3 linked regions of the Sus scrofa genome follow. The protein of the gene in region 2 interacts with the protein of the main gene of each other region in a biochemical or structural test. Links are inferred from orthologs where the notes say so. Each region holds a gene or a part of one and is shown on either strand. Other genes may lie near its edges. The genes, in order: SP1, ESR1 and SAFB.

Evidence for each region.
Region 1: the proteins of ESR1 (region 2) and SP1 form a complex in vitro, tested with the Homo sapiens proteins (6 studies listed by BioGRID and IntAct). The link is inferred for Sus scrofa from reciprocal best matches to the Homo sapiens genes ESR1 and SP1.
Region 3: the proteins of ESR1 (region 2) and SAFB form a complex in vitro, tested with the Homo sapiens proteins (2 studies listed by BioGRID). The link is inferred for Sus scrofa from reciprocal best matches to the Homo sapiens genes ESR1 and SAFB.

The regions. Positions count from the first base shown.
Region 1 is NC_010447.5:18,587,514-18,591,261, reverse strand, and holds the start of SP1 (transcription factor Sp1), read right to left. Parts: upstream 2,500-3,748; 5' UTR 2,322-2,499; coding exon 2,315-2,321; intron 1,813-2,314; exon of another isoform or gene 1,411-1,812; intron 1,235-1,410; coding exon 1,080-1,234; intron 747-1,079; coding exon 1-746. UniProt on the Homo sapiens protein: Transcription factor that can activate or repress transcription in response to physiological and pathological stimuli.
Region 2 is NC_010443.5:14,372,565-14,376,212, forward strand, and holds part of ESR1 (estrogen receptor), read right to left. Parts: intron 1,745-3,648; coding exon 1,409-1,744; intron 1-1,408.
Region 3 is NC_010444.4:73,331,489-73,335,235, forward strand, and holds the start of SAFB (scaffold attachment factor B1), read right to left. Parts: upstream 2,899-3,747; 5' UTR 2,897-2,898; coding exon 2,534-2,896; intron 1-2,533. Other genes in the region: SAFB2 (scaffold attachment factor B2), read left to right, coding at 3,206-3,391. UniProt on the Homo sapiens protein: Binds to scaffold/matrix attachment region (S/MAR) DNA and forms a molecular assembly point to allow the formation of a 'transcriptosomal' complex (consisting of SR proteins and RNA polymerase II) coupling transcription and RNA processing.

The sequences.
Region 1 (3,748 bases), on a different chromosome or scaffold from region 2:
GTCCCGGAGGTGACAGGCTGTGAGCCACTCTCTTGGGACCCGGAGCTGCTAATCGTGACTGCCTGAGAACTAGGAGTCAAGGTAGCTGCAGAAACGCTGTTGACAGGTAGCAAGGTAATATTACCATTCAGGGCCACTGGTACATTGGTCACATACTGAGTCTGTCCTGAGAGTACATTATTAGCTAGGCCTTGGAGGGGGACAGCCTGCTGGAGTAGGTTTGGCATAGCAGCAATGATGTTGCCTCCACTTCCTCGATTTGTGATGATCTGTTGGTTTGCACCTGGTATGATCTGTATCTGACCTGAACCATCCTGCTGTACTTGGGCCCCAGTGGCAGCAAACTGCAGCTGTTGCCCATCAACCGTCTGGAACTGTGGGATTACTTGATACTGAATATTAGGCATCACTCCAGGCAGTCCTGTTAGGACTTGCTGGTTCTGCAGGTTGGATGTGGCAGCCACGACATACTGCCCACCAGAGACAGTGCGATTCTTGGAAGACTCACCACCATTGTTGCCATTGGTACTGCTGCCACTTTGTTCCTTCGAGGTAGGGGTAGCCCCAGAGGAGGAAGAGATGATCTGCCAGCCATTGGCACTCTGGGAGAGCTGTGTGGCTGTGAGGTCAAGCTCACCTGTGCTCCCGGACTGGCCTGGGCCCTGGGAGTTGTTACTGTTTTCATTGGGTGACTCAATTCTGCTGCAGGTTGCTGCCAGCAGAGCCAAAGGGGATGGCTGGGACTCCTGGCCAAAAATAAGGGAGAGGAAAGAGATTAGTTTAGTGACACCAGCTGCCAGCCCTGGGGGCAGTAGAAAAAAATAAACAGTAAAAAAAACCCAAAATAAATAAATAAACAGCAAAACAGTGCCCCCCCCAAGCAAACAAAAAGCCAACCTATCTACACTGCTGAAATTTGAAATTCTCATCTTTGGGGATCTCCAAGTCACTTGTCTCTGTACTTACTTCCCTATCTGTAAATTAGCCCTTTCCTAAAAATTTTTTTGTGAAAAGACAATCATCTAAGAATATCTACATCCTCTCAACACGATGCCCACTCTGTCCAGATGATCACCTACCTGCCCTCCTCCTCCTCCACCGCTGCTGCTACTGCCTGTGCTGCTGCTTCGAGCCTGAGAAAAGGCACCACCATTACCACTGCCCCCATTATTGCCACCAACTCCTTTTTCAATCTTCACCACAGCTGTCATTTCATCCATGGAGTGATCTTGGTCTAAAAAGAATTAAAAGATAACTTAAAGTTGGGGAAAGAAAAAAGATAAAATGAAGAAGGGTAAGGAAGACTAGGACCAAACAAAAATGACTAACAGGAAGGTGAAAGTCCCAGTATTTAAACAAACAAACAAAAAAGGATTGGGGAAGAAGAGACAGCTGTAGGGCTAGGAAGACCTGAACTGGGCCCCTTGGTGCCAAAACTGGGCCGCAGTTCTCCCTCGTACAAAATTAAACTCAGAAAACAATGAAAAGGTGCTTTTGGTATAGACAATGTAAGGGTCCGTGGACATGTTGAAGGAGTTTAAAAGTATCCTGCGGGGAAAAAAAGGAGAAATATAGATAAGGCATAAAACATGTGGGTGGATGGAAAGCTTGCTCAAATTAGGGTCAAAGGAGATGGAGAAAGGGAAGAATTCAAGTGTAGAAAGTCACAAGAGGAAAGGAAGGGGAAGGAGAAAAGATGAGATAAAAAGTTTTGTAGGGGGGAACATTTGTGAATACTAGAAAGGGGCTAAAGAGGTCCAGGGGTTAGAAATCAGGAGTTTCGGGGCGGACAGAGGGCGGGCCCTAGAAGGAAAGGGCGGTTTCGGGGTGAGGGGCGTGGAAAGGGCGGGACGGTAGGGGGAGGGGTAATCTACGGGGGGGAGGGGTAACCTTCGGGGGGTGGGGGGAGGAGGGCCTTGGGGCCGGCGGCGACCAGAGGGCGGACCAGGGAGGCGGTTGGCCCGGGCGGGGCCTGCACTGCTCGGGCCGCCCCCGCGGCTCCAGCCCCCGGCAGGAGGAGCCTCAGGCGGGCGGCCGAGTAGTGGGGGGTAAGGCCCGTCCCCCGTGGCTGGGGCGGGCAGGGGGCGGGCGAGGCCACGCTGCCCCCTCCCCCGGGGCGGGCGGCCCATCCCCCTCCTCCTCCGAGGCCCCGCCACTGCCCCTTCTCCCTCCCTTCCCTCCGCCCCGGGCGGGACCAAGGCCGCCGCCGCCGCCTCCCGCCCGCCCCCCTCACGGCGGGGACCGCCCGGTCGGCCCTCGCGCGCGCCCCCTCACTCCCCTCCCACCCCTAAGCTTGGAGTGGACTCATCCTTACCGCTCATGGTGGCAGCTGAGGGACGAGCTCAAGGGGGTCCTGTCCGGGGGGGTTGGGGGGGCCAGGAAAAACGCGGACGCTGACGAGGCAAGCGAACCCGGACCGGACAGGGAGGGGGGGGTAAAGAGGAGGGAGCAGCGCGCCACAAGCCCGGCCTAGGCCCCGCCCCTCCACTGCTGCCCCGCCCAATAAGGGAGGGTGAAAGGAGGGACTTGCAAAAGAAAGACAGGCAAATTACCCAATGGCGAGACTCGTTTGCTCTCTAAGGCGTGTAAGACAAAGTTGCGTGCGTGGTGTCCGCCCAAAAAGGGCGCCCTCTCAGTTTTAAAAGCCAATGAAAGGTGCAGGAAGTGAAGATAGGCGGGATTTAGAGATGATAGGCTTGGAGAGAAACCAGTCAACTGCCAGGCGGGCTCGCTGAGACGTAGGGATAGGAAGGGTTTTCATTGGAATGACAGAACAGCGACCAACCAAAACCCTGGGCAAGCCTGGGCAAAGTCCTGGTGGGAGGTGGTAAAAAGTAGACAGGAATGGGATAGGATGAAGCTTATCAAAACCAATCAGAAATCAGGCGGGCGGCCAGGAAAATTATGATTGGATTAACACTGAAAAGAGACGCGCTAGGACACAAATTGACGTGAATAAAAGCCAATTGAATGCTGCTTAAACTGTGAGGGCGGGAACCTGGAGTAGGCAGGGGAGAATTGGCGGCTGCTTCAGTCACTCAGCCCAATGAGGCAGCGAGGGAAGCCAGGCACCGCCTCCGGCTTGGCCAATGGGCGTTACTAGAGGCGCCAGTTGTCGGGGAGGTAACAGGGCTGTGCCAAGAGGAGTCCGTCGCCATTTTGGCCCTCCTCTGGGGACGTCTTTACCGTGATTAGGTGGCAAGGCTTCAGCAGAGCCCTGCAATTCAACAAGTGTCAGGGCCGAGCCCCGCGGCGCGTCGCATTTCTTCCTCGACATCAGGGCTTGTTTGAGTCTTCACTTAACCGCTTTTAAAAGTACCTCTCAGGTCTCCCCCCTCCGCGGTGGGCGGACTGGCAGGCGGATGCCTCAGAATATGGTGTAACCCCTGTGGGTGCTGGCGCAAGGAGATCTGGCGAGGGCGCTCATACAGTAGGTTAATAACGCACTGACCAATTTGCAAGGTCTTTGTGAGACTCCAGCAAACGCCATTTTACTAAATTCCCCCAAAGTTGATAGCTACTTAAGGCCGGTTAACTCTTCGAGAGCTTGCTTTTGAGGCTAAAGAGTGTTGGAGGACTTCCTGGAGTTCGAGGTCCTGTAAGCTGCTACCCCACCCCCGCCCCTGCCTCTACCCCGTAATTGTAAATAACGTTTAAACATAAAGCAAGTAGCCAGATAGAGTGCCTGCTTTTTGCAACTGCAAAGGTTAGAGGTGATTTTTCCCGAAACACCTGAATTTCTGGCTAC
Region 2 (3,648 bases):
ACAATAAACATTAACAGCAACTAAGAATTGGCTTTCAGGGATATGACCATTTTTTTTGCTGTTTTTTTTTTCTCTTCTCCCAAAGTATTGTTTTAAAAAACAAAGGCAGTAACAAATCTAAAGATAAAACCTACGACCATATTATAATTAAATTCTAATATTTAGTTGTCATAGATCTGCTCCACATGAGGATGCTAAGGTAGGTAAGTTCTCAATAAACTTAATTCCAAAGATGGCTGGGAGTTTTTATTTGCCAGTTGGACTGACCCTGAAAATCTAAGTATGCTTATTAATTCCCATGTTTCCATGTAACCCAACCTCTGCCACCTAAATAAATGCCCTATATCAGGTTTGGATCACGTTACTGGTTCCTTATTCAAAGGACTACAAGTTTATATGTTAATATATGCAAATACATGAAATAGTACATAAGGCCAGATATATGTTCGCTTGGGCTATTAATAGAGTTGGTGAACTCTAAAATGCAAGTACAAAACTCTACATTTATTTAGTTTGATAAAGAACATCCCATGCTTCATAGGTAATAATTAATCTATTCAAAGAAAGCAAACAAGACAATTGCTGTCTAAATTCATTACTTATTTGATCTATAAGCCCATAAAAAAAAAAAAAAAGATTTAACTTCCTCTTGCCTTGGTTCATCTACCTTAGCTCCTGAATGGATATGATGGGGCATGGAGGAGGTCATTTTCTAGTCTTGTTTCCATAATAACTAGAGTTCTTCTCCCTGAACAACAAGAGCAACAGTCAAGGTTTACAGGAACATCAGTACTGAGAGTATCAACTGAAGGACCAAGTATCACTTCAGCCACTGCTATCTTTCTAAAAGCTCCTCTCAGGGCTGAGAACCTAATTTATTTTCTGTTGTATTATCTTTCTCCTAAAATATTGAGAAGAGATGGTTGAATGAATAATTGGCATTCGGTTTAAAAAAAAAAAAAACCCTATTATTATCTCGTTAGTCCATAAACATCTTAAAAGAAAATATTTTAAGGTAAAATTGATTATTAATAATTTAGGTGTTTTGAATGAAAGTCCTCAATATTAAAATTTTATAGGGCATAGATCATTTGGTGTTAAAAACTTCTGACACTGGGAACACACAATATGAAATGCATTTATAACGGAGTGTCCACCCCAGATTTTTTAGTGAATAGGATGAGTTAAAAATAATGTCAGATTAAAGCCTTTAATACTCTAGATTTTGATTGTAAAACATTATTCCCTAATTTTCAGGAGAATTACAGTGTACTGACACTGAAAATTAACAAATCCTGATGTAACCTTGAAACTGATTAGATCACAAGCCATTGTCCCCACACTATCACGACCAGTTCATGAATAGCTAATGGCCCTTAAAAATAAAAGTTGAGCTTCATGTTCTTACCTGGCACCCTCTTTGCCCAGTTGATCATGTGTACCAGCTCCCTGTCTGCGAGGTTGGTCAGCAAGCCCATCATTGAAGCCTCACTGAGGGGTCTGGTAGGATCATACTCGGAATAGATTATGGGGGGCTCAGCCTCCAACAAGGCACTGATCATCTGGTCGGCTGTCAGGGACAAGACCGGGCTGTTCTTCTTAGTGTGTTTAATCAAGAGAGGGCTTGGCCAAAGGTTGGCAGATCTCATGTCTCCAGGGGGCACCGCTTCATTCCTGCCCTCTCCATCATCTCTCTGGCGCTTGTGCTTCAACATTCTCCCTCCTCTCCGGTCTTTCCGTATCCCTGAGAATACAGACCAAAAAAAAAAAAAAAAAAAAAAAAGCCAGTTTATACTTTTTCTCATATTAACTTTCATACTACAACTATCTTCGATGCTCACAGCCCTTTATTTTATTTAAGGACATAGTTGGGGACATAGTTGTGCTGGTGTTTAACAACCAGCTGTCCAAGAGGGGGGAAAAAAAACTTCCATTGGTAGCATTTGCCAATTTCCATGGTGTAACTACTCCCACCATGGCAAATTTCAAGCTACTTGTCTGATATCAAGCAGCATACAAACTCCTGAAAATTTAACAGTAGGCTTTTGTGAGCCAGTAAAAGCTGGTTCTAACAAACCACTGGGGTGTGTGTGTGACAGATGTTATTAAAAAGTTCAACATTACAGTATTTAGCCATTCTTGAAATATGACAGCATAAAAGATTGCTTCTGCTATGAATATTATTACTATTGTTATTACTATTATTTTAAGGACCTCACCTGTGGCATATGGAAGTTCCTGGTTTAGGGGCGAATTGGAGCTGCAGCTGCAGTCTTATGCCACAGCCACCCCAACACTGGATCTGAGCCGCATCTGCAGCCTATGCTGAAGCTTTCAGCAATGCTCGATCCTTAACCCACTGAACAAGGCCAGGGATCCAGCCTGCATCCTCACAGACACTATGTCAGACTCTTAACCCACTGAGCCCCAATGGGAACTCTTGAATATTCTTTTAATAGCAAATTTAAAAGGCATTCGAGAAAAGCACTTAATAAACATCCTTATCGTCCTGTTGACTTCTTGATGGCAAGACACTAAGGGGGAATGACTTATCCAAAACACATCTGACAGCCTTTGGACCCCACCAGCGTTCAGTCAGGCTTTCATTGCTACTAAGCGGTACTTCATCACCTAAGCGACTGAGCCAAGACCCTCAACTTGTTTCCTTGGTTGTAAGGTTTTTACAAATGTATTTCCATTTTCCTAATATAAAAGTTTTCAAATAGTTGAAAATAGTTTTCCCCCAAAGATTTACCCAGCTGTGGTTCTCACTAACTAGATTATGGGGGACTGGAGGCTCCAATCTCTTTGGCAGACATTCTTGGAAGTTTGGCTCAACATCTTAACCTGGAAAAGGCCAGGCTGTGAAGTTAAAATCTATCAACCGAAACATGCATTTTAAAGGGCAAAAATTAACACAAGCTTCCATATTTTCAAAAACTCTAATCTCTCCAAAATACATCAGACAGCAAGAGTTCTTCGATTATACATAAAAGAAATAGTCAGTTTAGTAAAAAGTTAATACAATTATTTTTAATATTAAAGATAGAAGTAAACACTCTTTATAACATCACTTGTTCTCTCACTCTGAAACAAATGAAAAACTAATGTCAGAATTTTGTTCTGTTTTGTTCTAATTTGTTAAGGGATTTGAACAAATGTTCTGTGGTGAATTTTTTTTTTTTTTCCCTTTGGCTGAGCCCATATCATGTGGAAATCCCAGGGCTGGAGATTCAGCTGGCGCCACAGCAGTGACAATGCCGAAGCCTTAACCCACTGCCGCACAAGGAACTCTCATCAATAGTGAATTTTTTATGTGTAACTTTTATTCTTTTAGGTCTAGATTAGATATGTTAGAAGATATTAAAAATTTAATGAAGCCGCAGATCCTATTCCTATTTGTTCAGTATTAAACGAAGCCTTTCCCAGAGCTCTTGGGATAAGTAATAATTGTAAAGATTATTAGCACTGACGGGCCCTGAGCATGTGCCATGTGTTTTAAGCACCTTATATACACTTTACACGTAACCATTTTACAACTAATTTAGTTTTCACAATAATCCTGTAAGGTAAATACAGGAAAACCGCTGTTTTGAAAGTTTAATGAACTTGTCTGAGATCATTCTCTGTTAAGTAAGATTCAAGATC
Region 3 (3,747 bases), on a different chromosome or scaffold from region 2:
TACTACCTCATCCTATCACACATATTTATGACTGACTCCAAAGGTCTCACTCTCAGCCACTAGGGGACCTGTTTCATCAGATACAGAATTATAAGGCTCTCTAGGCAAGTCTCACCTCCCACTCCAAAAGCCCACTGTTTACTTGAACAGCCCCCACTCATGCTCAGCACTGTGCCAGGCACCAAGGAGGCACTCTGGAGAAAAAAAAAATAAAACTGAACTTGTCAATGCTGACATCCTGAGATACCGAGTTTCACATTTATATTTTGTTAACCCTTTCTCTACCAGACTATCCTGTGAACAATAGTTCTGTTTAAACCCATTTCAAAGACTATTTGTAAACAGCTTCAAAGATTCTCGGGAGTCTCCCAGTCTAAATTTAGAATGGGGCTAGGGGGCTCCATACCTACTCTCTACCAGAAACAAAGAAAATCTCTCCCTTTTCTCTGAAGCCAGAACCAGAAGACTGAGTTATCTCCTGGGATCAAGGAAAGCACAAACAGAAAGTTCCTCACCCTCTTCCTGGGGAAAGAAGATTCTGGAACACCAAGATTCTGGTACAAGAACTACCTCAGACAGATGTACCAGTTTGACCCTCAGTGTATCTCTGGGTGTAGTGTTTATAGCATCATCCCTAGGGGGGACTATAGGCTATGACTGATTCTTTTGGGCCTCAGCAAATTACAGTTTGTGTGTTCCCCCACCTTTCCCTCTTTTGCCCTTCCTAAAAAAAAAAAAAAAAAACAAAAAAAAAAACAAAGGAACGAAAAACTAGATGATAGACGTAGAAGAGAAAAACATCAGTACTCCCAGATTTGCTTGGGCAGAGTGGCAGATAGGTGTGTACACTCATAGTATTTTTGTAATTTGAGCACATCCCTAGAAAACGGAAAAGGAAGAAAGATGGATCTATCCCCTCAGAGATGCTAGTGACAGAAGATTTCTGAAGTCACACACCAGTCTCAACCACCAGCCTGACAGGAAGGTTCAGTGCCATCTTATCAGCATTGCAGGCTTGTAGACTAAGGGAAAAAGGATACCCCCCCCCCCCAGTTTGGCTTTGTTGACAAGAGGTCCTGGAGGCTACTAACGACATGGATGGGGGGGCAGGGGGCGGTGCCTTCAACCCTCATCCTGCTTGCATCTTTTCCAGGTAAACATCTTAATCAAATGCCTAACCTGTCTGAGTAAAGGAAGTTAGTATCCATACTGAAAGAAACACAGGCTTTCTGAGTTAGACCCAACTGACTCAAGGGAAGTAATTCACCACTCCCAAGCCTGAGCTTCTCAACCAGATAATAGAAAATAATCCCCATTTCCTCTAAATAGCAATTAATAAATAACCCCCCAATCCTCAGTTGTTTGGGAGGCAGGAGGGTGGAATGAGTCACAAACCGCACCGTCTGGAGGGCTTGGGGGTGGGGTGGGGGGTGTTGGATTAAGTGGCAAGGCTTAGCGATTACACGGAAGACCCAAGACAAGTGTCTCTAGGTTGCAAAAAGGCAAAGAAAGAAGCCACAGGAATAAAGCAAACCATAGGGTGAAACAGAAAGGCGCCAACATTTACTTAAACTCACTGCTCTTCACACGCATCCCTCAGAACCCCTCAAGACAGGGGTTAGAACCACCCTCTGCCGCTTGCCAATATCAAACGGTGGCACAGAAAGAAAAGTGACTTGTAACAGCGATCCTACTACCTCTGAGTGTTTACATGTGCTAGGCAACACGCCAAGCCTGTTTCATGCCATCTTACTTAATCCTAGCACGGAAGAACTATTACTTTCCTCTTCGAACACAAAAAGAAACAGGATCGAGAAGGGGTAGTAAATGTCTTCCATGCCCAAGATCAGGCCCCTGGGCCTGGCAGGGGCCTGATCTCTCCCCAACCCTCTATGTTCTATCTCGCGATTGCTAACTGCACTTCCCTTTGCATGCTGTGTCCCCGAGTCCGTGCTGGAAGGTCCCTAAGCCGTTTTTTCTCTCTCTTGGAAGATTTTTTTCGGAACGATTACTTTAACAGTTCATTCAAGGCTTCTAGGCCATAACGGATCAAGGAGCATCTATCTTCCCAAAGGAGAACCGCGCGGCCCGCACGGGCTCAGGGAATCAGACGGCTTGGGTTCAAATCCCCACCTCCCCACTCGGGTCGAATGACCTTGGCCCAGTCCCCACGCCGCGGAGGAAATGAGGATTTCAAGGTTCCGCGTCCACTTTCGCAGACTGGGATGAAACCAACCAAAAAAAAAATCCCTAAAAAACAGTGAATGATGCGGAAAACACAGGCCTTAGCCGATGTCACCCGTCACCCCAAACTTCCCCCGTTCGCTTCCCCAGTCTCGCCCCGATGCGACTCTAGACTTCGAACCTGGAGCTCCCGCCGGAGCCAGAGAGAAGCCGGGAGAAGCGCTGAGCGCCAGGCCCAAAGCAGGCCGCAGACAGGGCCGGGGGCGGACCCCGAGGCCAGGACGCCACCGTCGTGGCTGCCGGGGTCCCCCAACCCACTTCCTGCCCACCCCCAAGGCCCCGGCTCCACCTTTTTGAGCCGCTCCATCAAAACGCTCTTGTTGCCGCTCGAGTCCAGATTCCGTTTCCTCAGCTCCGCCCGCAGATCAATCACCCGCAGGTCGCTGAGGCGCCGCGTCCCGGTCTCCGACGAGGCGGAACTCAGAGCGGCTGCGCCCGCCGCACTCGAATCGCCTAGGCCTGACAGAGCCTCCGCCATTCCAGGGACCCTGGCTCCGCCGCCCACTTCACACAGAACCGGGCAGGATTTATCTCGGCTTCTAGCACAAAATGGCGCCGCCTGCGAGGGAACCGCTCCAGCCGCCCCGGCGCGCCTCGCTCCTGCGCAGGCGCACCCGGCGCGGGTTCGACGCTCCCGGTCGCGTCTGCCCATGCGTGGTGAGAGACTTGGGGAACTGCGCGCAGGCGTGTTGCGTTTTGCTGGCCTCCCGCCGCGATCAGCCGGCACACATGCGTACTGCAGTTACGGCGCCTGCGCGTTGTGCCGGGTCACGTGCGTTTGGTCGACGCGCTAGCGTGCTTGCTGCTAAGAATCCCGGTAGGGGCCGCACGCATGCGCTGCCGGAAAAACTGGGCGGGAGGAAGCGAGTGCGTTTTCCTCGCCGGCGGCGCCATTTTGTGTTCAGAGCCGCTACTGCCGCCGGCGGTGTGAGGAGTAGGTGGCGGAGACGGGGTGCCCGGGATGGCGGAGTCTCCGGCAGGGTCCGGTGACTCGGGTTCTGGCACGGCCAGTGTCGTCTCGGGCGCTTCAGAAGCCGGGACGCGGCGGCTCAGCGATCTGCGGGTGATCGATCTGCGGGCGGAGCTGAAGAAGCGGAACCTGGACACGGGTGGCAACAAGAGCGTCCTGATGGAGCGACTCAAGAAGGTGAGGCAACCAGGGGCCCTGGGGTGGCGCAGGAAGCTGGGGCACGCCCCCGAGCGGGCCTGTCACCGTGACTCCCGGGCCCGGGGCGCCTCCGGCCCGCTTCTCGTGGCCGAACCCAGCCCGAGCTGTCAGGGACCGCGGGGATCCGGCTGTGTGACCTTGGCTCGTCACCGCTTCTCTCTGTGTCTTACCTCCTCCTTTTTTTCTAGTTAGTCGTTTCAAGAGCGCTGAAAGCCCACTATAGCTGCAGGGTGGCTTCTAGACTGCACCCGGGGTTTGGGTTGGAGACTGTTTGTGTGACCTTGGACAAGTGCTTTCCGTTACTTGCTCTTGTTTCTTGTCTTGGAGATCCAAGA